Linked DNA regions of Elephas maximus indicus. Each later gene encodes a partner of the first gene's protein in a complex. Links are inferred from orthologs where the notes say so. Each region holds a gene or a part of one and is shown on either strand. Other genes may lie near its edges. The genes, in order: IRAK2 and IRAK4.

Region 1 (13,146 bases):
CATATAAATGAGATCATGCAGCATTTGTCCTTTTGTGACTGGCTTATCTCCCTCAGCATAGTATTTTCAGGGTTTATCCATGTTGTGGCATGCATCAGGACTTCATTTCTCTTTGCGGCTGGGTGATATTCCATTGCATGTATATACCATATTTTGTTTATCCATTCATTTATGGTTGGACATTTTGGTTGTTTCCATCTTTTGGCTATTGTAAAAAGTGCTGCATGAGCGTTTGTGTACAGGTCTCTGTTTGCACTCCTATTTTCACTTCTTCTGGGCATGTTCCTAGCATTGGAATTGCTGTGTCATATGGTAGTTCTATGTTCAACTTTTTTCCCAGTGGCTGCACCGTTTTACATTCCCACCAGCAATGGATAAGGTTTCCACTTTTCCACAACCTTGCTAACACCTGTTGGTTTTCTTTCTTTTTTTTATCATTGCCATTCTAATGGGGGTGAGGTGATATCTCAGTGTGGTTTTGATTTGCATCTCCCTGATGGCTAATGATGTTGCATATCTTTTCATGTGCTTTTTGGCCATTTGAATATCCTCTTTGTTGAACTATCTATCTGTTCAAGTCTTTTGCCCACTTCTTTTTTTAAATTGATTTTTTATTGTGCTTTAAGTGAAAGTTTACAAATCAAGTCAGTCTCTCATACAAAAATTTATATACACCTTAATATACACTCCTAATTGTTCTCCCCCTAATGAGACAGCACACTCCTTCCCTCCATTCTCTCTCCTCGTGTCCATTTGTGCAACTTCTGGCCCCCTCTGCTCTCTCATCTCCCCTCCAGACAGGGGATGCCAACATAGTCTCATGTGTCTACTTGACCCAAGAAGCTTCTTCTTCACCAGTATCATTTTCTATCCCATATTCCAGTCCAATCCCTGTCTGAAGAGTTGGCTTTGGGAATGGTTCCTGTCTTGGGCTAACAGAAGGTCTGGGGACCATGACCTCCGGGGTCCTTCTAGTCCCAGTCTGACCATAAAGTCTGGTGTTTTTACGAAAATTTGAGGTCTGCATCCCACTGCTCTCCTGCTCCCTCGAGGGTTCTCTGTTGTGTTGCCTGTCAGGGCAGTCATGGGTTGTAGCTGGGCACCATCTAGTTTTTCTGGTCTTAGGCTGATGTAGTCTCTGGTTTAGGTGGTTCTTTCTGTCTGTTAGGCTCATAATTACCTTGTGTCTTTGGTGTTCTTTGTTCTTCCTTGCTCCAGGTGGGTTGAGACCAACTGATGCACCTTAGATGGCTGCTTGCTAGTGTTTAAGACCCCAGACACCACTCTCCAAAGTGGGAAGCAGAATGTTTTCTTAATAGATTTTATTATGCCAGTTCACTTAGATGTCCCCTGAAACCATGGTCCCCAAACCCCCGCCCCTGCTACACCAGCCTCCGAAGCATTCAGTTTATTCAGGGAACTTCTTTGCTTTTGGTTTAGTCCAGTTGTATTGACCTCTTCTGTATTGTGTGTTGTCTTTCCCTTCACCTAAAATAAAACTTATTTACTATCTAATTAGTGAAAACCCCTCTCTCTCCCTCCCTCCCCACTCTCGTAACCATCAAAGAATATTTTCTTCTCTGTTTAAACTATTTCTCCAGTTCTTATAATAGTGGTCTTATATGGTATTTGTCCTTTTGCAACTGACTACTTTCACTCAGCATAATATCTTCCAGATTTCTCCATGTTATGAAATGTTTCATGGATTCATCATTGTTCTTTATCGATGCATAGTATTCCATTGTGCGAATATACTGTAATTTATTTATCCATTCATCCATTGATGGGCACCTTGGTTGCTTCCAACTTTTTGCTATTGTAAACAGTGCTGCAATGAACATGGGTGTGTATATATCTGTTCACGTAAAGGCTTTTATTTCTCTAGGATATATTCCAAGGAGTGGGATTGCTGGCTCATATGGTACTTCTATTTCTAGCTTTAAAAAAAAAAAAAAAAACAACTAAAAAAAGCTTTTTAAGGAAGCAACAAATTGATTTCCAAAGTGGTTGTTCCATTTTACATTCCCACCAGCAGTGTATAAGTGTTCCAGTCTCTCCACAACCTCTCCAACATTTATTATTTTGTGTTTTTTGGATTAATGCCAGCCTTACTGGAGTGAGATGAAATCTCATTGTAGTTTTGATTTGCATTTCTCTAATGGCTAATGATTGTGAGCATTTCCTTATGTATCTGTTAGCACCCTGAATGTCTTCTTTAGTGAAGAGCCTGTTCGTATCCTTTGCCCATTTTTTAATTAGGTTGTCTTTTTGTAGTTGAGTTTTTGCAGTATCATGTACATTTTAGAGATCAGGCGCTGAGTGGAAATGTCATAGGTAAAACCTTTTTACTGGTCTGTAGGTAGTCTTTTTACTCTTTTGGTGAAGTCTTTGGATGAGCATAGGTGTTTGATTTTTAGAAGCTTCCAGTTATCTGGTTTCTCTTCTACATTTTTAGAAATGTTTTGCATACTGTTTATGCCATGTATTAGGGCTCTTAGCATTGTCCCTATTTTTTCTTCCATGACCTTTATCATTTTAGATTTTATTAGGTCTTTGATCCATTTGGAGTTAGTTTTTGTGCACGGTGTGAGGCATGGGTCTTGTTTCATTTTTTTGTAGATGGATATCCAGTTATTCCAGCACCATTTGTTAAAAAGTCTGTCTTTTCCCCAATGAATTGACTTTGGGCCTTTGTCAGATATCAACTGCTCCTATGTGGATGGATTTATGTCTAGATTCTCAATTCTGTTCCGTTGATCTATGTATCTGTTGTTGTACCAGTACCAGGCTGTTTTGACTACTGTGGCGGTATAATGGGTTCTAAAATCAGGTGGAGTGAGGCCTCCTGGTTTCTTCTTCTTTTTCAGTAATGCTTTACTTATCCGGGGTCTCTTGCTTTTCCATATGAAGTTGGTGATTTGTTTCTCCATCTCATTAAAAAAATGTCATTGGGATTTGGATCAGAATTGCATTGTATCTATAGATGGCTTTTGGTAGAATAGATATTTTTACAATGTTAAACCTTCCTATCCATGAGCAAGATATGTTTTTCCACTTATGTAGGTCTCTTTTGGTTTCTTGCAGTAGTGTCTTGTGGTTTTCTTTGTATAGGTCTTTTACATCTCTGGTAAGGTTTATTTCTAAGTATTTTATCTTCTTAGGGCCTACTGTAAATGGTATTGATTTGGTGATTTCCTCCTCAGTGTTCTTTTTGTTGGTGTAGAGGAATCCAACTGATTTTTGTATGTTTATCTTGTATCTTGATACTCTACTGAACTCTTCTATTAGTTTCAGTAGCTTCCTTGAGGATTCTTAAGGGTTTTCTGTGTATAAGATCATGTCATCTGCAAATAGAGATACTTTTACTTCTTCCTTACCAATCTGGATGCCCTTTGTTTCTTTATCTAGCCTGAATGCTCTGGCTAGGACCTCCAGCACAATGTCGAGTAAGAGGTGATAAAGGGCATCCTTGTCTGGCTCCTGTTCTCAAGGCTTTGCCCACTTTTTGATTGGATTCTGTTTTTATTGTTAAGTTATAAAAGTTTTATATATATTTTGGATATTAGGCCCTTATCCAACATATGGTTCCTAAAATTTTCTCCCAAACTGTAGTTTGTCTGTTAACTTTGTTGATGAAGTCCTTTGACGTAGAAAAGCATTTCATTTTTATGAGGTCCCATTTATCTATTTTGACTTTTGTTGTTCAAAATTTGTTGTCTTATCTGATAATCTGTTGTTAAATACTAGATCCCTCCGTAGGGTTTTCAATGGCAGATTTTTGGAAGTAGATCACCAGCCCTTTCTTTGGAGGTGCCTGTGGGTGAACTTGAACTGCCAACCTTTCAGTTAGCAGTGGGGCGTGTTAACCATTTGCACCTCCCAGGGACTCCTTGGCACATTGTAGGTATAACTAAAGAGTTATTATAATAAAGAGGCAGTTTGTAGCCAGTGGTGATTAAGGGACCAGACTGCTATGTTCAAATCTCAGCTCTGCCACTTTGTTTCTATGTAATGTTAGGCTAATTACTTAACCTCTTTGTATCTCAGTGTGGTGCAGTGAATTACTTAATAGAGCCCTTCCAGCTATAGCCTTTGTGACTCCCACAGAATAATTAGGTGGGACTAGGCAAATAAAGTGTTTGCGGCCCACCAAGGGGATTGGACAGCCTGCTAACAATGCAAATAAGGTGCATGGAACCCCTGTGGGGGTGGGACCATGAAAATAAGGTGTATGGAACCCTAATGAGCGGATGGGTCTGTTTTGCCATCACCCTAAGCTTAAAAGACAGCCAATCCCAGAGCAGAGAGGGGTGGACATCACTACCATCAAGAAAGAAGACCCAGGAGTGGAGCGTGTCCTTTGGACCTGGGTACCTGCAATGAGAACCTCCAAGACCTAGGAAACAGAGCGAGATGTAACCTAGGAAAGAAAGAAGATGGTACAAGACGGTGAGAAGCAGTGGCAGAGAAATGGTGGCAGAAGAATCAGGAGACTGGCATAAGATGGTGCAGTGGGCTTCCTGGCCCACAGAACAAGGTGGCTACAGTGGGTGTACCAACCCACGGAGTGAGAGAGTTGAGTGCCTTCTGGCAGGCAGCTTGCTGGAAGAGCAGGGTATCTCTGAGCACTTACTGGCAGAGCTAAAAGAACTTTGTAACACTTGCCTGAGCAGGGCAGAGGCCAGGCTATGGACCAAGGGCTACAGGTGGAGGAACTGAGAGAGGGAGAAAGAGAGAGAGCCCTACCTATTGGCACAGCTGAGAAGCTGACCTAACTGAAGAACTGTATCCTGAGTCATTCCTGATCCTGAATTGTAACCTGTTACTTCCCTAATAAACCCCATAATTGTGAGTTTGTCTGTAAGCTCTGTGTGGCCATTGCAACGAATTATCGAACCCAGCAGAGAAGTAGAGAGTGGCATGGGAGGGATGACTGGTGAAAACGTTGGAGGGCGGAGGTATTGAGGCAGGCAGCCTCAGAGCCCAACTCTTCTTTGAATAACCTGCTCTGGCTTATCCTCCTACGCAGAGCAGAATAGTTCACACATTTTCCTGGAATTGTTCTTGTCAAAATAACCACAAAACGGGCCATAGCTGGCCTCAGCCCATTTTAGAAGGCCTTCAACACCATCTTGACATTTTAAGTGACCTATTTTGGTGTAGTGGTTAAGTGCTACAGCTGCTAACCAAAAGGCCGGCAGTTCAAATCTGTCAGGTGCTCCTTGGAAACTCTATGGGGCAGTTCTACTCTGTCCTATAGGGTCGCTATGAGTCGGAAGGAATCCACAGGGCAGTAGGTTTGGTTTGGTTTGGTATTAGCTCATTAAGAGCAAAATACATATAAGCCTCTGGATGGAGACTTAACACACCGGTGAGAGAAGGTTGACCTCTTCATCCCAGGAAGTTGAACCCCTGTCTAAAGAAAGTGCATAGCCATCTCCAAACATTGGGTGCCTGCATGAAGATCAATCCTGAATATTCATGATAAATTTACATTTCCTTGCCTGCTCTTTGTAAAAGCTCACCTCCCCAAGCTGCTTGTGAGCAGTCTTGGAGGCAGCAGCTCAGACTGTTCCTTTCCTTGCCAAGGAAATAAAAGCATCTTTGTGATCTCCCATATCAGCCTCTTGTTTATTGGCTGTGACAAGTCATGCCAAGCAACTTGGGTTTTCCCAACATTTCATTTGACTTCCACCTCATAGGAGTCAGCCGTGGGCTGATGTGGATCTGGATTCTCTTTCCTCCCCCTTGTGAAGTTAGAGGAGATTGGACGCACACGTGCCGTTTTTGCGGTCTCAGTTTTCTTATGTGTGGGATGGGGGTAATAACCACAACTACCTCACAGATTGTTGTGAGGAGTAAGTGAAATAAAAAAATAAGCCAGGTGAAATTTGGTGGTGATAAAAGCTCAAGTAATAAGTTCTGCTCCTCCTATCCTATTATTAAACTTGTCCTGCAATTCCCCTTTCCAAACTCTGCTTTCCCCCAATAATATTATCTTCTAAGATAATAATGCAATTAGCCTCGTACCTTTTACCATACTCTACTTTTGTTTGATTTACTTCTGAAAATCGGCCCAACAAAAACCCTATAGATCATAACAGTCTGATCTGATCTGAAACTGATCATGGGGATAGCACATGACTGGGTAGTGTTTGTTCTGTCGTGCATGAAGTTACTATGAGTCAGGGGCCAACCCTACAGCTGCTACCAACCACTTTTATTCTCTAACATTATCACCTTCCATATTGCTAAGTTATTTACTTATTTAGTATTTTTATGGCTTAATATCTGTCTCCCTCCACAAGGTAGTATGCTCCAGGAGGGCACGGATTTTGTCCTTTTCTTTCAGAGGAATCTCCAGCACCTAGAACAGTACTGGGCATGTAGTAGGTGGTCAATAAGTATTAACTATTATTGTTATAAAATCTACCCTGATACCCTATTTAATACAGAATAATTCTCCAACCCCGTTTGAACTTTGATTCTCCTTGACCAGCTTTTTCTTTTTCGCAATTGCACTTATATAGCCTTTTTAAAAAGAAAGCGATAGATGGTTATTCATTCAACAAATAGTTTTGGGGGTGCTTACTCTGTGGCACTGTTTTATCACTAGGGATACAGTAAGGTACAAAACTGACACAATTCCTCCCTTTATGGAGCTGACATTCCCATGGGGGACTTTTTTTTTTTTTCTGTGTACATAAAAAAATTTTTTTTTGTGGTAAAATATATATAACATAAAATTTTCCATTTTAACTATTTTTAAGCATATAATTCAGTGGCATTAATTACATTCACAGTGTTGTATAACCTTCAGCACTATTTCCAAAATTTTTCATCACCCTGATCAGAAACTCTGTACTCATTAAACAATAACTCCCTATTTCTCTCTCCCCCCTGGTCCCTGGTAACTTCTAACCTATTTTCCGTCTCTATGAATTTGCCTATTCTAAATATTTCATGTAAGCTGAATCATATAATATCTGTCTTTTTGTGTGGCTTATCTCACTCGGCAAAATATTTTTTTTTATAATTTGTTGAGAATATACACAACACACACAAATTTGACAGTTTCCACATGTACAGTTCAGTGGCACTGATCACATTCTTTGAGTTGTGCAACCATTCTTACCCTCCTTTTCTGAGTTGTTCCTCCCCAATTAACATGAACTCATTGCCCTCTAAGGTTCCTATCTAATCTTTTGAGTTACTGTTGTCAATTTAATGCCATATAGATAGCTCTTCAAAGAGCACAATGGTCAAGGCAGACATTCTTTACTAGTTAAGCTAGATTGTTATTTGGAGTCCTGGTGGCTCAGTGGTTAAGAACTATGACTACTAACCAAAAGGTCGGCAGTTCAAATCCACCAGTTGCTCCTAGGAAACCCTACAGGGCAGTTCTACTTTGTCCTGTAGGGTCACGATGGGACAGTTTTACTCTGTCCTGTAGGGTCATTATGAGTTGGAATTGATTCCATGGCAGCAGGTAGTAGTAGTCTTTGGTTTTAAGAAGGCTTCAGGGGATATTTTTGGTTTAAGGTTTAAAGATTACCTCAGGGCAATAATTTCAGGGGTTTATCTAGCATCTATGGCTCTAGAAAGTTTGGATTCCATGAGAATTTTAAATTCCGTTCTGCATTTTTCACTTTTGGTCAGGATTCTTCTATAGAGTTTTGATCAGAATGTTTAGTAGGCTCAGCATAATGTTTTCAAGGTTAACTTTTGCCGTAGCATGTATTAGAATTTAATTTCTCTTATGGCTGAATAATATTCCATTGTATGGATGAACTGCATTTTGTTTATCCATAAATTTGTTTATGGACACGGGTTATTTCCATCTCACTTATTACCTTTTAACACGCTATGTAATTAGTATTTTTATTACTAGTGTCCTCCCCCTCACACACACCTAGATTGTAAGTTCTGTGAAATCAAGGATTTTATAGGCTTTCTTTTTATGTATCCCAACATCTAGGACCCATAACCAGACCAAACCCATTGCCGTCCGGTCGATTCCCACTCATAGCGACCCTATAGGATAGAGTAGAACCGCCCCATAGTTTCCAAGGAGCGCCTGGTGGATTCAAACTGCCGACTTTTTGGTTAGCGGCCATAGCACTTGCCCACTATGCCACCAAGGTTTCCACATGTAAGACAGTGCCTGGCATATGGTAGGTACTCAATAAAATATTTGGTGAGTGAATTGTATGTGGTGTAGTGCAGGATGCACTGGAAACAGAGTCCGAAGGTCACCTGCAACTGCCACTGAAATCCCATGTGACCTTAAACACTCGAATTCTTAACCCCCTTTGGGTTTTTTTTTTTCCCTCCCAGTTCCGACCCACCTTGGATCGCCAGCTGCTCAGGGCAAGCAGGTGGGGTCGCGTCCTTCCCCTTGTGGCCGCTAGGGGGCAGTTGTGCCCCCGGCGCAGCCCCGCCCACTTCCCGGACCTCCAGCGGCTCCTGGAGAGAACTGCCCGCCCCTTGTAGAGAAACGGAGTGTGGCCGCGCCGGGTTCACTTGCTCGTCCGCCCGGCCGCCGGCAGGTTGCAGTCCCGCCATGTCCTGCTACATCTACCAGCTGCCCTCCTGGGTGCTGGACGACCTGTGCCGCAACATGGACACCCTCAGCGAGTGGGACTGGATGCAGTTCGGTGAGTGGGACCCAGGTGGGAGCGGTCCCCGTAGCATCCCTCCATGAGCCCCCTCGGGGGCTCTGGTCAAGTGGGTCCTGATCCGAGGGTTGTACGGGCTGAGGTTTCTGGAGCGGCCTCGCTGTGGGACCTAGGCAGACGCCTGTCCCCTCGCCGAACCTTACTTTGGTTATCCCGAAGGTGTTCTGTCATCTCTGAGGTCCGCTGGCGCTAAGATTTCTGTTGGCAGCTGCTCCCAGCTCTTTGTCTCTAAATAATGACCACCTCTACTTTGCTGTTCTTTGGACTGTAAAACTTAATCCCCTAAGAGTAGCTATTTACAATTACTGTGTGTCAGGCTCTGTTTTAGTCTTTACAGGTATTTTTAATCCGCTGCTCAGTGGCGCAGTGGGATTTGAACCCCGGAGATCTGGCTCCACCACGACACACTACTTTGTTTGTAACGCCTTGATTCCTCCTCCCCCTCTCCGTTGCTGTTTGGCTGAGAGGAATGATCAGGTGACCTTGGCATCTAGGGGGAGGCTTCGTGTGTGGTCCTCAGGTCCCTACGCAGAGATTTGCATTCCAGGTTCTGCCACCTACCAGCTGGTGGCTTTGAGCAAATTTCTTAACCTCTCTGAGCCTCAATTTCTTCATCTGTAAACCGGAGATGATAATTACGTTTTCTTCATAAAGTTGTGAGGAATAAAAATATTGCATAAAAAAGCACCTAAACAAATTCAGTGTTAGATATTCATATGAGTAATTAGGAAGTGTTACCTATTAAATCTTAGTTTTAAGTCAGTATAACTGGTACCATTTTTATTTTTTAAATACCATACCAAAAAAAACCAAACCCATTGCCGTTGAGTCCATTCTGACTCATAGCCATCCTACAGGACAGGTAGAACTGCCCCATAGGGTTCCCAAGGACTGCCCGGTGGATTTGAACTGCCAACTTTTTGGTTAGCTGTAATGTATATAAATTTTGTTTAAAATTTTTAATTATGAAATATACCATTCATACAAAAGAATATACAATAGATAGGTACAGTTGAAATAATACTACTGATTAAAATGAACATGTATGTGTTATCCATCTAGTTTGAGCAAGAAATATATATTTTAACCCAGTGGTTTTCATCTGGGGGTGATTTGCCCTCTAGAGGACATTTGCCAATGTTTAGAGACCTTTTTGGTTGTCACAAATTGAGTGAGTGGAGGCCAGGACTAGTAAACATCCTCCAATGCACAGGACAGCCCGCTACAACAAAGAATTATCCAGCCCAATGTGTCAGTAGTGCTGAGGTTGAGAAACCCTATTGTAACCCAATAACAAAAGTAATACATGCTTATTGCAAAATACTCTGGAGGAAAAATTCTACCACTCAGGGATAACCATTCTTAATATTTGGGTGCTAATAACTTTTTTTAATAACAGTAATAATAGCAGCTAATATTTATTGGCTTCTTAACTATGTGCCAGGCAAAATGCTAGGTATTGTATGCCTTCCTGCCTTTTTCCCTAAACATATCTATTTATGTGTGTGTATTTTTTAAAAAAAATTGTATCATTTTGTCCATTCTATCTCATAGCTTGCCTTTTTCGCTTAAAATATATTACAATTATTTTCCCTTGCCATTTGCCATTTCAACATTTTCACACGTATAATTCAGAGACATTAATTTTGTTCATCGCGTCGTGCAACTATTACCACTACATGTTTCAAAATTTTCTGTCACCTGTAACAGAAACTCAGTGCCCCCAGGCAATGACCCTTCCTCCAAAGCAATATTCTTTAACAACATGGACTTAGGTTATTTTCATTAACTATTTTTAATTGAAAAAGTAATATATGTGCTAGGTTAAATGATATAATGGGATGGAGAAGAAAGTAAGCCTCTTTTCCCTCCCTGGTCCTCAGCCTCCCAGATTCCCCTCCCTGGAGGCTGTCACTTTTTCCAGAGAGTCATGGCACATATGAGAATATATTTCCACCTGCTTTTCAAGACTGCACCGTGTTCCATTGTTTGGAGGATCTGTGACTTTAACCACTTGGAATGTTTCTTGGACAGTGGACAAGCTTTGTGGGTAGACCGCCCTCTAGTTTTTTCCATGTTGCCTTGCCCTCAATTGTGAATGCCAGAACAACTTGTTTCTAGGAAATTCGTTTAAAAGACCCACCTATAACTTTTTTTCAAAATAGCTTTATTGAGATAGAATTCACATATACAATTCACCCATTTAAAGTGTACAATTCAACTTTTTTTTAGTGTATTTACAGAGTTGTGCTTCCATTGCCACAGTCAGTTTTAGAACCTTTTCATTACCCCAAAATGAAACCCCATACTCCTTAGCCATCACCCCCAGCCCTCCATCCCCTCTTATTCCTAGGCAACCGCTGATCTACTTTCTGTCTCTATGGATTTGCCTATTCTAGAATCATACAATATGTGGCCTTTTGTCTCTGGCTTCTCTCACTTAGCATAATATTTTCAAGATTTGTCCATGTTGTAGCGTGTATCAGAACTTCATTCCTTTTTATGACTGTATGATATTCCATTGTATGGATCCGTCACATTTTGTTTATCTGTTCATCAGCTGATGGACATTTTGGTAATTTGTACTTTTTGGTTATTATGAATAATGCTGCTAAGAACATCCATGTACAAGTCTTTATGTGGATATAAGTTTTCATTTCTCTTGGGTGTGTAGCCTAGGAGTGGAATTGCTGAGTCACATGGTGACTCTAACATTTTGAGGAGCTGCCAGACTGTTTTCCAAACCAGCTGCACCATTTTACATCCTTGTTAGCAGTACATGAGGTTTCCAGTTTCTCTACATCCTCACTAACAGGTGTACCTCCTGTCCTTCCACGCCCCCTGTTACTCACCTTGCACTTGCCACACTGGCCTCTTTGTTCTAGACTCCAGGTCTTTGTACTTGCTGCTTCCTCTCCCTCTTCCCTGTGTATTTCACATGGCTGATTAGTCTGCATTAGTTCGCTATTGCTGCTGTAACAAATTACCACAGCTTCAGTGGCCTAACACCATGCATATTTATTGTCTTACTGTTCCAGAGGTCAGGGATTAGAAATTGGTCTCACTGGGCTGAATTCAAGGTGTCGGCAGGGCTGTGTCCCTTGTGGAGGCTCTAGGGGAAAATCTGCTTCTTTGTCATCTCCACCTTCTAGAGGTCTCCTGTTTTTCTTGGCTCGTGGCTCATTCCTCCATCTTAAAATCAACAGTGTAGCATTTTGAAATCTCACTTGCTTTTTGACCTCTGCTTCTGTCATCACATCTCTGACTCTGACCTTCTGCCTCCCTCATATAAGGACCCTTGTGATGACATTGGGCCCACCGGAAAATCCGGGATCATCTCCCCATCTCAAGATCCTTAATTTAATCACCTCTGCAAAGCCCCTTTGCCATGTAAGCTAACATATTCACAGGTTTTGGGGTTTAGAATGTGGACATCTCTGGGGGCTATGATTCTGCTGACTGCATAGTTCTTCAGCTCTGGGCTCGTGTCATCTCTTTCACAAGGCTGTCCTTGCCCTTCTGCTACTCTCTGTTGGGTTTTATTTCCTTCATTCCACTTAACATGCTTTGGTATTACCTTGTTTGTTATTTGTTTACGTCTGTCTCTCCCCATAGAAAGAAGACCTGGTGGTGCAAGTGGTTAAGCGCTTGGCTAAGTGAAAGTGTGGCTATTTGAACCCGCCAGCCGCTCTGTGGAGAAAGATGGGGCAGTCTGTTTCCGTAAAGATGTACAGCCTTGGAAACCCTGTGGGGGCAGCTCTGCTCTGCCCTGAAGGGTCGCTATGAGTCAGAATCAACTCTGTGGCAATGCGTTTGGTTTGGTCTCTCTTCGTAGAATGTAAACACCCTAGGGCAGGGGCCTCACCTGGCTCATTCATGCCTGTATTCCTAGAGCCTAGGACAGCACCTGGCAAGGGGGCCGGTGGTCAGTGACCATCTGAATGAAGGCTGAGCTTAAGGACATAGGATGCGAAGACTGCGGGGTGCGGCTGCTTTTCACCCTGTGGAGCTGGCTTTGAGCCTTGGTGTGCCCACTCTCCCTGTCGAGCGGATCACTGGACGGGGGCCAGCTCTGCCCCCATTAGCTGCTCCATGCGGGGTCATGGTGCTCTCCAGTTTCCACTCGTGCAGAATGAGTGTTTACCGTTATCCTTCCAGTCCTATAAATCTTGGCTTCTGTGGGTCATGTTAGAAAAAGGTGGTTCCTCAGAGCCGATTGTGTTACTGAGGAGTCTGGGGGAAGACGTTTGAAGTGATTCAGAAAAGCACATACCACAGCATCACCAGAGCGTGTCACAAGCCTGGTGCACAGTGGGTGCTCCATAAATATTTGTAGAATGAATGAATGAACGAATGACTTGATATGCATCCTCTTTGGATTTGACAATTGTCAGATCATGTGGCTGCCTCCTGTTCATTTCCCTGTGCTGTAGCTGCATCCATTTTTGCCCTTTGGGGAAAATAGTTT
Region 2 (12,519 bases), on another chromosome or scaffold:
TACTGTAGACCCAGCTTTTTTGTGTGTATATTGATTTTTTATATTGATATTTAACATATTCACAATGAAAACAGAGAAATTAAAAGTATATATATTTATTTAAATAACTCATTATATATAAATATAAATAGTTTTCATGAAAAATAACTGTGGTTTTCAACTAAAAATTAGTAAGAAGAATCGTATTCTTTTACAGTTTTGCAAATCTTTTTAATGTCTGATTTAACAGAAGTCAGATGGATTCTCATATGTTTCTCCATTCAATCTGTTGTAATTTCTTGTTTTGGTTAAAACATGAACAAAATACAGGCCCACAAAGATACGTTGTTTGAAAAAAGGAAGACATCATGGACCTCCAGAAATGATACCAAACCCAAAAGTAAACCCACTGCTGTCGAGCTGTTTCTGACTCACAGTGACCCTACAGGACAGAGTAGAACTGCCCCATAGGGTTTGTGGCGTAGTGGTTAAGAGCTATGGCTGCTAACCAAAAGGTCAGCAGTTCAAATCCACCAGGCGATCCCTGGAAACCCTCTGGGGCAGTTCTACTCTGTCCTATAGGGTTGCTATGAGTAGGAATCGACTTGATAGCAGCTGGTTTGGTTTAATCTTTACGGAAGCAGATTACCAAATTTTTCTCTCGGGGAGCGGCTAGTGGGTTCAAAGTGCCAACCTTTAGGTTAGCAGCCAAGTACTTAACTACTGTGCCACCAGGGCTCCTTGTGAAATGATCCCCAAAATCTTATAGATATGAAAATATTTGATATTTTGATTTTTCTCTATGCTCTATTTGGCCACATCTTATAGTCATTTCACTGAAACTCTGTAAAAGTCCTATCATGAAGTTATCATTTTTTGTACATTTTAAATGTATTTTATTTTATTTATTTATTATTTTATTTTATTTTATTATTTCAGACAGCTGCTTTAAGCAATTGCTTTGGAATAAGAGGTTTATACTCAAATCCGTTTGGTCAAAAAAAAACTGGTCAAAGTAGACTGATAATATAAAGACCGTTCCTTTTATTTACTTCTTTTAGCAGTTCTTTAAAGCTCCTTCTCAGCCGAATTCCTACCTTTAAAAGTTTGGAGGCCCAACCCTGTTTGTACCATCTTTGCTGCTCTCAAAAACTGTCTGAATGTTCTATGAGTTCACTCCATCAGACAAAAGATATACTCAGAAATTCTGTCAACATAAGACACCTACTGGGGCTTCTGCTGAGGGAAAATGTCCCTAAGATTCTTAGAAGAACTACTAGTTAACATACCAGATCTGTGAGTCATCCCTAGAGAACGTTTTGTCTGTATAAACCATTCTCTGAAGCACTGTAATAGATCCTTCTGAAATTTTACAAAGGATTTTACAATCACATCCTAGATCTCCTCATTAGACCATGTTGTCCTTACCATGGATAATCTCTTAGCCTACAAGCCATTCTTAATATAAGTATCATGTGCCATCTAGAGAGGCTGGGAATTAAAAAAAAAAAAAAGTATTTTCAAACCCAGCAAGTCCTGGCTCTTTTGTATCTAACAGTTTTTCTTTTAGAATTTCAACTAAGTAGTAAGAAGCTAGGTGGCAACATCAATAGTTGGTCTGGATGTTGAGCACCTCCTTATTAGATGAATTTTCTACTTTCCATAAATTTTATGCCACTATATAACAACGATCCCTTTCATCTATTTCAGTAATATTTTCCTCACTTTTCTTTAAACCCTCATTAACAGCTTCTTTGAGGTCCCTGCAAAATTCTGTCCACCAACTAGTCCCAAAGGCACTGCAACCACAGGTTTTAGGCTTTTGTTACAGCTTCAATCTACTTTTGGTACCAAAATCTCTATTAGTTACCTAATGCTGTACAATAAATCATCCTAAACCTTAAAGGCCTAAAATAACAATAATCATTTGCTATCCCACACAGTTTCTGTGGGTAAGGGATTCAGGAGTTGGGCAATTCTGGCCTGAGGACTACTGTGAGGCTGCAATAAATATCAGCTGAAACTAGAAGGTGTACTCCCAAGATGGCTTGGAAGTTGGTGCTGACTGTTGGTGGGAGGCCTCAGTTTCTCACCACAGGGTTCTTGAGTATTTTCAAGGTTTAGTGTCTTGCTTCCATTGGAGGACTGATATCAAATGCCTTTTGTAACCTAGCCTCAGAAGTCACACACTGTCTGCCATATTCTACTGGTAACACAGGCTGGCCCTGATTCAATCTGGGTAGGGAATACAAAGTGTATGAGTACCAGGAGTCAAGGATCATTGAGGCCCATTTGGATGCTAGCTGCCACACCCTACCAAGCCAGATAAAGAACTACCGTGCACCTGTAACCTGCCCGAGGTTATTAGGTGTTATATAGGGCTGGGGACCAGCCAGAGAGGAGAGGCCTAATTAAATAGCAAGGGCATTCAGGACAGACCACAGAATAATCATGCTAAAATTGCAATTACATAGTTGCTGTTGTTGTTAGGTGCCATCAATGAGATTTCCAGTTACAGAGACCCCATGTGACAGAGGTGAGCTGCCCCAGCCCTACAGTAAACATTTCCCATCCTTCAAGTAGGATATAAGCCAATTAAATCTGATCAGCCAGACTTGTAGAGTGAGATTTCACCAGTTACTATTCCACCCTAGAAGTTGAATATATATCCCCTAAAACAACAGTTCCCAAAATGTGGTCCCCACATCAGCAAAAGTGTCACCTGGAATTTGTTAAAGCGCCACCCCAAACCTTCTGGGAACAGGGCTCAGAAATTTGTGTTTTAACAAGCTCTTTGGATGACTATAATGACTAAGCTTTGAGAATTTTTTCTCTAAAAGACTGACCCAACCAAATCAAGGAGTACTCTGTAAAAGCTTTCAGGTTCATGCCTTTCCTTAGGCAGGGAAGTTTAATTGTTATGGATTACAAGATATTCGCTCTACTTTTCCAAGCATAGCATACATGTTCTGTTTATTTCTAAACACTTATTTTTATTTAAGATGACTTTCAAAATATGAAATTAAGATTTACCTCCAAAAAAGCTTATTAGATATAAAAAACTACTTCAACTTTATACTGTATATTTGTAACTGTGTTAACCATACCTCTCTTTTTTAACCATACTTTCATCAGTAAGGCTATTTTTTACACTTAGTATAATATGAAAGATTTTATCTTCCATTAAAAGACAGACTCATATTATTTTCAAATATCCCTTTGGCCAGGTCTGTTCAATTCATTTAAAATTATTCAACTTTCATACAATTTTAAGCTTATCCAAGAAAACAATGATTTATTAAATTACCTGTATATATGACTTTTCTTTCCTGGCATTCAAGATGAGACCTTTTCCTGTGCTTGTGTGCTTTTTCCCGAAACTTTACTGTTATCACTACATTTGGATTATCAGCACTGTGATTCAGTTCTGAAAAGGATTTGGTTTCCACGAGGCTTCCAAACTTCTTGTTGACAAAATGATGGACAGCTTTTCTGTGGTCTTTGTTTGCATCCGGTTTAAAGGTAAATTTGGAATTTTCTTTCTTTGCATCCAAATACTTAAAAAAGTCAAATGCTTCTTCATCAGACACCAAGTGACAGAGTTCTTTATACTCAAGATTTGGTTTTACAACAATTTCGCTGTTTTTTCCTACAGTTATTAAATAAGGAAATTTCTGCCGAACAGCACTATGTAAACTGGCCCGCTGGTTTTTGTCAAGGATTCTGCCTAACGAGAATTCAGGAGATGGTCCCACTAGCTCAATTTTAGAATTCCACGTCTCTTTTACATCACAAGCAAACTGATTCAGTAATTCATTAGTTTTTTCATCTAATAAGGAGCCTAATATATCAGCTTTTTCTTCTTCACATTTGGAAGCTCCATTATTGATCATATCTTCATTTTCTGAACTAGACTGATGATTTTGGTCACCATCGGAACACCTAGCTAAAGTACCAAGTTCTTGGTTACGCCCACCTTCAAAGGATAAATTGTGAAGGTCTAGTTTTGGTTTTTTGGCATAATTATTTGGCTCAGGTAGTATGTTATTAATCTCGTACAGAGGTTCATCACTGGCTTTATTAACTAACTGTCCCCGCTCATCAATCTCAGTAACAACGAAGTCCCTTGGTGAGCTTTTTATAGTGCCACGAAATCCAGCATGATCAGTAATATAACACAAAGAACTGAACCTGTTTCTATAATCTGTATCCTCTTCCATTCTTACATAATAATGTCTACAAAAGAAACAAAGAGGCAGTCAGTTACCAGAAAGAGAAGTTGTGGAAAACAAAACAAAAAAAGGAACAGGTTTGCTGGATTTATTTAATTCTCTTTGTCCCTTTCAATCCTGAGTTCTCTTAAATAGAATTATTAATTCATGAATATATACCATGTGTTCTTTGACTCTCATACACCAAGATGAATGAATAGGCAAACATTTTCTAATATAACTTAAAACTTGACTCTTCATCTACCCCAGACTTCCATCTATTACCTGGATTTTAAATGGGTCAGTTTCAAGCTTACCTTACAAATAGTATTTGTAGGACCACAAAAAATAGACTAGAACATAGGACTGTTTACAATGATTTGTCCAAACCCCATCCGTAGAGTTGAAAATTTCATTAATTTCAGAGAACTTAGGACTAGAGTTTCATATGCTAAGGGTGCAGGGACAGGAGACAAGAAGAAGATAGAAAGAAATAGGACTTAATTTAGTCCCGGGCCTTAAGCCTTCTCTAAAGCCCCCATTAGGACAGACACGAACTTTTGAAGTTGATCCCAAGGAGATTTCCAACCATCATTATCTTTGCCATCAGAGAAAAGGAGACCCTTATAGAGCTTTGTGGGAGCAGTACACAAAAGAATAGTCCTCTGAGGAAGACTACTCACTCATCAAACAACCCACGGCTACCATACCACATGGAGCTATGATAAAGGTCAGTTTCCCAGAGACCCCATACCAGTCAGATCATCACAAACCCACACATTCTAGGAAATTTATCATCATCAGGGCCTTCACCCCCATTTATACAACATATTCTACTAATCCGAAACAATTTACCAGCCTCCTCTTCTCAATTCTTTCCATTGTGCCATGTAGAAATTACAGCAAATTTTCTATATCCTAATTTCCCAGGGAATATACAAGGATATTTACTTAATTCCTTAATTCCTGCATCCCCTTCAGTGTCTTGCTCTAATTGAAACCCGGCTGTTTCCCCAGACTACTACTTCTGCAGTCCTCTCAAGCAAAGGCTATTTTTCCTTTCACACGCCACGTGCCTTAGGTCTGGAGGTCATAAATATTTTCCATTTCCCACTGCTCCTTCCAAACTATTTCTTCCTCCTCTACTTTCAAACTTCCCAGTGCCTCTGAAGTTCATGCCATCAGGCTTTACCATCTGCTGTCATCTTCACTCTAATCCCGAGGACTACTCTTCATTCACTGATGACTTTAACACCTGGCTTACTATCTTCACATCCAGCACGACTTCCATGATCATCCACATCCATCTTTCATTCAATATCATTGTCCCTCAGTTCCTCAATCTCCCAAGTCAATTTCATCTGTCACCCCCTTCCGTGGTCACACCTTCTCATTTCCATAAACTGCAACCTACAAAACTTGCACTTTAAGTATCTAGTTCTCTGATCACCCCTGCTATCTTTCCATCAGCCCTACTTAATACGTCCCTTCCGGAAAATCTTAGACATTGTGAAGGTCTCTAATCACTGCTTCTACTACTGACTCACTCTAGTCCATGCTCCACAAAACAGCCAGAATGGTACTTTTAAAGGTAAATTAAATCATATCAGAACCCTGCTTAAAACACTCCATTCACATGTATTAATAAAATACAAATTCCCTACCCTGGTTTTCAAAGACTATGATTCTGGACCCTGTCTATTCTCCAAAAGCATCTTGTACCCTTTCCCCATTATCCATTACACTCCAGCTATACTGGCCTTCTTCAGTTCCTTTAAACTAACTGTTTCTGCAGCTGAAATTGTCCCTTCTCCAATTATATAGCTGCACCTTTTAGTAATCAGATCCTCAGAGGGGTCTTCCCTGACGAGTAATCTAAAGAAACTAGCACACTCTCTTCACGAAGCCTTATTTTAACTGTCTTTATAGCTTTTTTATTTAATATTTTCTTTGTCATTTACATTGTTTCAATAAAATGTTAGTTCTGTGATGTCTGTCTTATTTATCACTGATTACCCCACATTTAGAACAGTGTCAAGCACATATTAGGCACACAATTCAACATATTGACTGTTGAATGACGCCACTAGTACAAAATATGAGCTGTAAGAGTAAAGAGGAGGAAAGAATGGCTCACTTTTGCCTGTGATAATAAGGAAAGGTATAACACAAGAAGTGGTCATCTAAGTAAGTGTGGCCTAAAAAGGGTTCGAGATATAGAAATGAGGCAGAGAGAATATCATCAAATAATGTACAAAAGATGCAATGTGTTAGAGAAAAATAAACATCCCAGATTGGGGGGGGGGGGCTTTTCTAGTACAGTTCTGGAAAATACAGCTAGATTAGCGTCAGACTATGGAAGACACCTAATGCCCTGCCAAGGACTTAGAATCCACTGGGTGACCAATAGATGGCAACTGCAGATGTCTTAGAACGACATAATCCAAAAGATGATTTAGTAAAATGACTCTGATGGTACTGATCAGTATGCATCTGATGAAACAGCGATGTGATCAAGAGTAGAGCTGCAGAAACTGGCCGTGGAAACAATGATCTCTTTCCCTATGAAGACATTTTAAACTAGAGGGGTAAGTAGAGCAAGGTGGAGGGCGGGAGGGGTGGGAAGGCAACAACAAGGGAATACCAACCAAGCGAGCATCTTGGGACAAGAGCGGACAAATGCAGAAACCGAAGTGTGGCAGAAATGTGAGACAGGTTTGGAGGTGAGAGTTTGGAAAACCTTAAAAAGGGTTTGGAACCGAACTGGAGGGCAGCCAAGGAGCCCACGTGGAGTTAAGTATAAATGTGCAAGACTCCTAAGCAACAGGGTTTGCAGATGAGGATTTGGGGTGTAGAGGTGGATTTAGTTTGGTTTAGCCAAAGTTGGAGAACTACTAGTTTGAGGAGGGATCCTGAAAAAGTAGTAGAAATGAGAGAGAGAGCTCCCTTTTCCCCATGCTCTTCCTTTCCAACTGTGCAATATCTGCCGAACGGGTTCCCAGAGAAGCAGAACTAAAGCCTGTGTCGCCGTCTCACTCTTCCCTGAGGTATTAACACACTTTTTTTTTTTTTTTTTTTACCAGTAGCTCCACTTGCTTCTTCAACCGTCCCCACCCCTCGGTGTGTCACTGCCCCACGTCGCCTTCGTCTGGGGGGCAAAGGATCGGGATAACCAATACAAGCTTTATCATCGTCCCAAACACAATCCCCACACCGTGGAAGAAGCAACGCGCAACACCCGGTCTACCTCGCATCCAGGCGAAGGTAAGTCCCCGCACAACCCTGTGCGCATGCCCGGAAGCCTCATCTATTTACCGTCCTCCGGGAGAGTATTTAAAGGGGCAGGCTCCCACGTGAAGAAGCGCCTTAACCAAACGTTCTTCGTGGAGCGGCCTGACGGCGCAGAGAGGAAGAAGCGGGGCCTGGAGCAGGCGGAGCCCGGGGCGGGGCCTGACGGGAAGTGCTGTCCTCGCTTCGCTGCTTCCCGCTGCTCGGGTTGCTCCGCCGCTGGCTTCGCCGCGAGGCGCCCCGCCCCCGCGCAGTGCCCCACGCCCCGGGCAGGTAAGGGATTGCCGCTGTCCGCTCTTCCTGCTACCCGGAGGTTGTCCTCCTCTGCTCCAGGCTTAGTAGGGTGGCTGTTTCGGGCTGCAGATCGCTTTATGCCTTATATTCAAAGTGAGAAAAGTTTAGAGAGGAAGTGGTTGCATGAATCACCTCCGGCGTCGAGATTTGGAGTGAGTCCCTGGAGATCCACAAGTTAGTCTGACTGGGAGGAAGCTGAGGCATCGAGAGAGCCGTCACCCAGCTGTTCAGTGGCGCCGTCTAATCTCGCCTCAACTTTCTCAACTCTGTGGCTTTTTGTTCCCTGAACCCGTTTACAAAATGAAATCTTGTCTCCTAAAAACCAGGAAGTAAGCTCAGCACGCGGCCGAGATGGGAGGCATTCAGAGGCTCCACACGATTCTGATTAGCTTGTTTCCTCCAGTTTCTAAGCTTCCAGGACATTAGAGAGTGAAGAGTTGTAAGAAACAGGTAAGTACATTATCACATACGAAAAGTGTACCTGACGGCGTGGAAGCAAGAGAGGAGACAAAGGGATAAAAAACAAACGTTGAAAAAGCTAGCAAGCACATCAGCCAATTTGGAATGAGAATAGCGCTATTAGTGCCTCAAAATGCTATATGCCCAGTGCCCAAGGAGTCCCTAACAGTAAAAAAAAAAAAAACAGTAGAGGATATTAAATTCTGCTTTTCCCCTCTCTAGGGATAAAAAAAAAAAAAGGGATAATCCTTGAAGAAGACTGACAGAAAGTTAGAAATTGTTTTATTCTCCTTTTTTGATGGTAAACGTTTGATTTTGCTTTCCACCTGTCTAAACAGAGCTCCTGATCTTCCAGGCAAAACTTAGACCTTCTAGTCTCTTCTCCATCTCAGTAAATGGCAGGAAGCTGTTGTTCAGGCCAAAAACCTTGGTACTGTCCTCTCACCCTCCACATCAGCACATAGGATTCTTTGGCTCTACCTCAGAATAGACTCATCCTCCAAGGACTTGTGCCTTCTCTTCTACTACCCTAGCCCAACCTCCAGCATCTCCCACCTGGATTGTTGGTGTAGTTGAATTGATCTCTCCCTGCTCCTCTGCCTTTAATCCAATATAACTTAATTTCAGCAGCAGCCCCAGTGTCTTTTAAGACATGATTATAGTGGATGTCTTGCTTCTTCTCAAAACCTCATCTGTCTTCTCATCTCACTCAGAGGATAAACCAAAGTCAATAAAAATGAGATCTGGGTACCTGGTCCCCTTACCTTACTAACCACATCTGCTACCCTCTTGCTCCCTCCCCTTCAGTCTTATTGTCTTCTTGCTGTTTCTCAAAGGGCCCACTTGGGCCTTTGCATTTATTATTCCTTTTGCCCAGGACACTTTTCTCACAGATATCTCACAGGCTGGCTTTCTTGCTTCCTCCAAACCATTGATCAAATGGCACCTTCTTATTGAGGCCTACTCTGACCACCTTATTTAAAATTACAGTCTGGTCTCTGTTTATTTTTTTCCACTGCCCTTGGTACCATCAAACATATTATTGTTGCCATTGTTAGCTGTCCTCAAGTCAGCCCCCGACTCTTGTCGACCCTGTGCACAACGGACCAGACTGTTGTGATCCACAGAGTTTTCATTGGCTCATTTACAGAGGAGATGGTCGTTTCTTCCTAGTCCCTCTTAGTCTGGAAGCTCTGCTGAAACCTATTCAGCATCATAGCAGCACGCAAACAGCCACTGACAAACAGATGGTGGCTGGGCTTGAGGAGCATTGCAGGAATTGTACCCAGATTTCCTGTGTGGGAGGGAGAATTCTACCACTGAACTCCGCTACGCCCATAAATGTATTTTAGATATTATTTGTTTTTTGTCTGTCTTCTGCAATTAGAATATAAGCTCCACAAGTTCAGGTATTTTTGATCTGACTTGCCTATTAATCTCTGGGGCCTGGAACAATGTCTGGCACAAAACAGTAAATATTTAATGAATGAATGATATTTTACGTTTAATATACCCAGAGTGTTTTAAAGCATTTACCGTTGAGTTAGATCATGTTCGAGAAAGATGTGTTATAATTTATGAATATATGTTTAAGGACAGCCCTGTATAATTTAATAGGTCCGGAAGGCATCACCAGCTTTTGTTCATAATGATGCGTTCAGTTGTCTGAAAATAAAGGTTATTTATCTGGTATATTTTGCTTACAAAGGCATGGAAGTAAAGAATGTGTTTTAGAAAGGTTATACATGTCTTAAAAGTACTGATATTTTCCTTTTTTAAAGATATCTGGTGGAGCAGTGGTTAAGTGCTTGGCTGTTAACCAAAAGGTTGGTAATTCGAACCCACCAGCCACTCTGCAGGAGAAACATGTGGCAGTCCGCTTCTGTAAAGATTTACAGCCTTGAAAGAAGCCCCACGAGGCACTTCTACTCTGTCCTATAAGGTTGCTACAAGTCGGAATCAACCCAACGTCAACAAATTTTTTTTTAATATATGTATTTTTTTGATCATCTATTGTATGCTATGTTTAGGTCTTTTTCATTTGTTGATCTTAAATCTTATGGCAACTCTTGAGTTAAATATTACTATCTCTGTTTTTCAGCTAAAGAAACCAGGGTCTGGAGAAATTTGAGTTATTAACCCTGGTCACAGTTGGTTTGTGGAAGAGCTGAGATTAGAACCCAAACTCACGCACCCTCGAAGTCCATCTTCTCTCCTCCCCTCTACACTCCGGCCTTCTGATCGAGTAGTAATGAAGCATAGTCATAAAACTTTATTAATTCATTTAATGAGAGCCCCCTGGGTTGTAGAAGCAGATGCTGATTTTAGTATATTCCTCAATTGCCACATCACCATGTGCGCTTGTCTGAGTTGTCTTAGTTGAAAATATGAATGATTTTTCTATACTATGAGAATTAATGATATAACGAAATAGTCACAGAGTTATTTCTGTATTTACTTATTTGTTTGTAAGCAGTATTTCCTGTTCCACCTCTATAAATCCCAAGAGTGCGGTAATGTGAAACCTTGAACAATTTCTGAAGAGGTGATGTATTTTAAATAATTAAGATGTTTGCTCAAATAATCTATTTTCATTGTTGAAAATCCAGGCCAGCAAAATGAAAACAAATGAAACCACCCATTAAAATTACCATCAAGAGATTTAAAAAACAAACAAATCTATCGCTGTTGAGTTGGTCTTGACTCAATAGCGAGCCTGTGTGTTACAGAGTAGAACTGCTCCATAGGGTTATCTTGGCTGCAGTCTTAAAGGAAGCAGATCATCAGATCTTTCTTCAGTGGCACCTCTAGGTGGGATCGAATTGCCAACTTTTTAGTTAGTAGTTGAGTGCAAACTGTTTGCACCACCCAGGGACCTCATTAGGAGATAAACTGTTGCCGTCAAATCGATTCCGACTCATAGTGACCCTATAGGACGGAGTAGAACTGCCCAGTCTGGTTTCCAAGGATCATCTGGTGAATTTGAACTGCTGACCTTTTGGTTAGTATCTATAGCTCTTAACCACTACACTGTCAGGTTTCCCATCAAGAGATAACCCCTGCTAATACTTCGGTGTATGTTCTTAAAAATACCTGGTTGGGAGTGGTGTATAAATGTATGCCTGAAGTACATTTTAAATTCTGAGATTTAGAACTTCTGGGCATATATTTGTAGAAGAGTGGTCAAAAGGCCTCCACTATCACCTCTCCTAGAAATCTGGCTGCAGAAGAGGTATAGAATTTATTCTTCTGGCCTCACGATGTTGTGGTTGTTAGCTGCCATCGAGTCAGCCCCCGACTCATAGTGACCCCACGTACAATGGGATGAAATGCTGACGAGTCCTGTGCCTCCCTGTGGTGGGAGAGGTTGCATGGGCTGGATTCTAGCAATCTGACTATTGTTATCCACTGGGTTTTCATTGGCTATTTTTCAGAAGTACATTGCCATGCCTTTCTTCCTAGTCCATTATAGCCTGGAAGCTCCACTGAAACCTGTTCAGCATCTTTGCAACACTCAAACCTCCACTGACAGATGGGTGATGGCATGAGGTGCTTTGGCTGGGAATTGAACCCAGGTCTCCCACATGGAAGTTCTACCACTGAACCACCACTGCCCCATGGTCTTACAGTAGCCAGTTTTTATTCTCAATTCCCTGTATTTTAGTTCTAGCTTCTAGGATTATTAAACGGTTCAATGTTTATTAACTGTGTCAATCAACTTTATACTTCTTACTGTGGAAAGAAATCTACAAGTAAGAAAAAATAACTTGAATAAGACAACTGCAGAATCTGTAAGCACATACAATTTCTTAATAAAACATATTCAGTCTTTCTCTCATTCAATACAAATGTTTTGAGTAGTTGCTACAGTGAATATGGTTAAGTCCCTGCCCAGGAGAGCACACAGTCTATTAGAGAAGGCATATGCATAAGCAATAAAATATAGTACTTGTTATAATAGAAGGATTTCCAGATGACATTTGGAGCAAAATGTATGACTATCAGGGAAATCCAATAATGCCTTTTGATGTGGGCTCAAAGGAATAGGAGCCATTTACCAGGTGGCCCTCAAGGTGCTTGGGCAGTTTTTTTACCTAACCATGGATGACTTCAACTCCTGCTTCATGGAGAAAATAGTATTGTGTAAGAACTCTCCCTCTCCCTTCTCAGATCTCTGTATCCAAACCTGTTTCCCTCTTTCTGATTTCAGGAATAGGCCTCATTCTGTAGCTATGAGTCAGAATGGACACAACGGCAATGGGTTTTTTTTTGTTGTTGTTTTATTCAA

What was found.
Region 2: the proteins of IRAK2 (region 1) and IRAK4 are in contact, whole or in part, in a crystal structure (PDB 3MOP), measured with the Homo sapiens proteins. The link is inferred for Elephas maximus indicus from reciprocal best matches to the Homo sapiens genes IRAK2 and IRAK4. Residues at the interface, in NP_001561.3 of Homo sapiens: Tyr6, Ile36, Lys44, Met48, Glu59, Trp62, Trp63, Trp64, Gly65, Met66, Arg67, Gln68, Ala69, Gln73; in NP_001107654.1 of Homo sapiens: Asp24, Phe25, Pro28, Gln29, Lys34, Glu92, Phe93, Phe94, Ala95, Pro96, Ser98, Val105.

Annotation. Positions count from the first base shown.
Region 1 is NC_064838.1:35,036,385-35,049,530, forward strand, and holds the start of IRAK2 (interleukin-1 receptor-associated kinase-like 2), read left to right. Parts: upstream 1-7,869; 5' UTR 7,870-8,563; coding exon 8,564-8,657; intron 8,658-13,146. UniProt on the Homo sapiens protein: Binds to the IL-1 type I receptor following IL-1 engagement, triggering intracellular signaling cascades leading to transcriptional up-regulation and mRNA stabilization.
Region 2 is NC_064822.1:98,438,608-98,451,126, forward strand, and holds the start of IRAK4 (interleukin-1 receptor-associated kinase 4), read left to right. Parts: upstream 1-7,662; 5' UTR 7,663-7,751; intron 7,752-8,098; exon of another isoform or gene 8,099-8,222; intron 8,223-10,921; exon of another isoform or gene 10,922-11,232; intron 11,233-12,519. Other genes in the region: pseudouridylate synthase PUS7L, read right to left, coding at 3,287-4,199.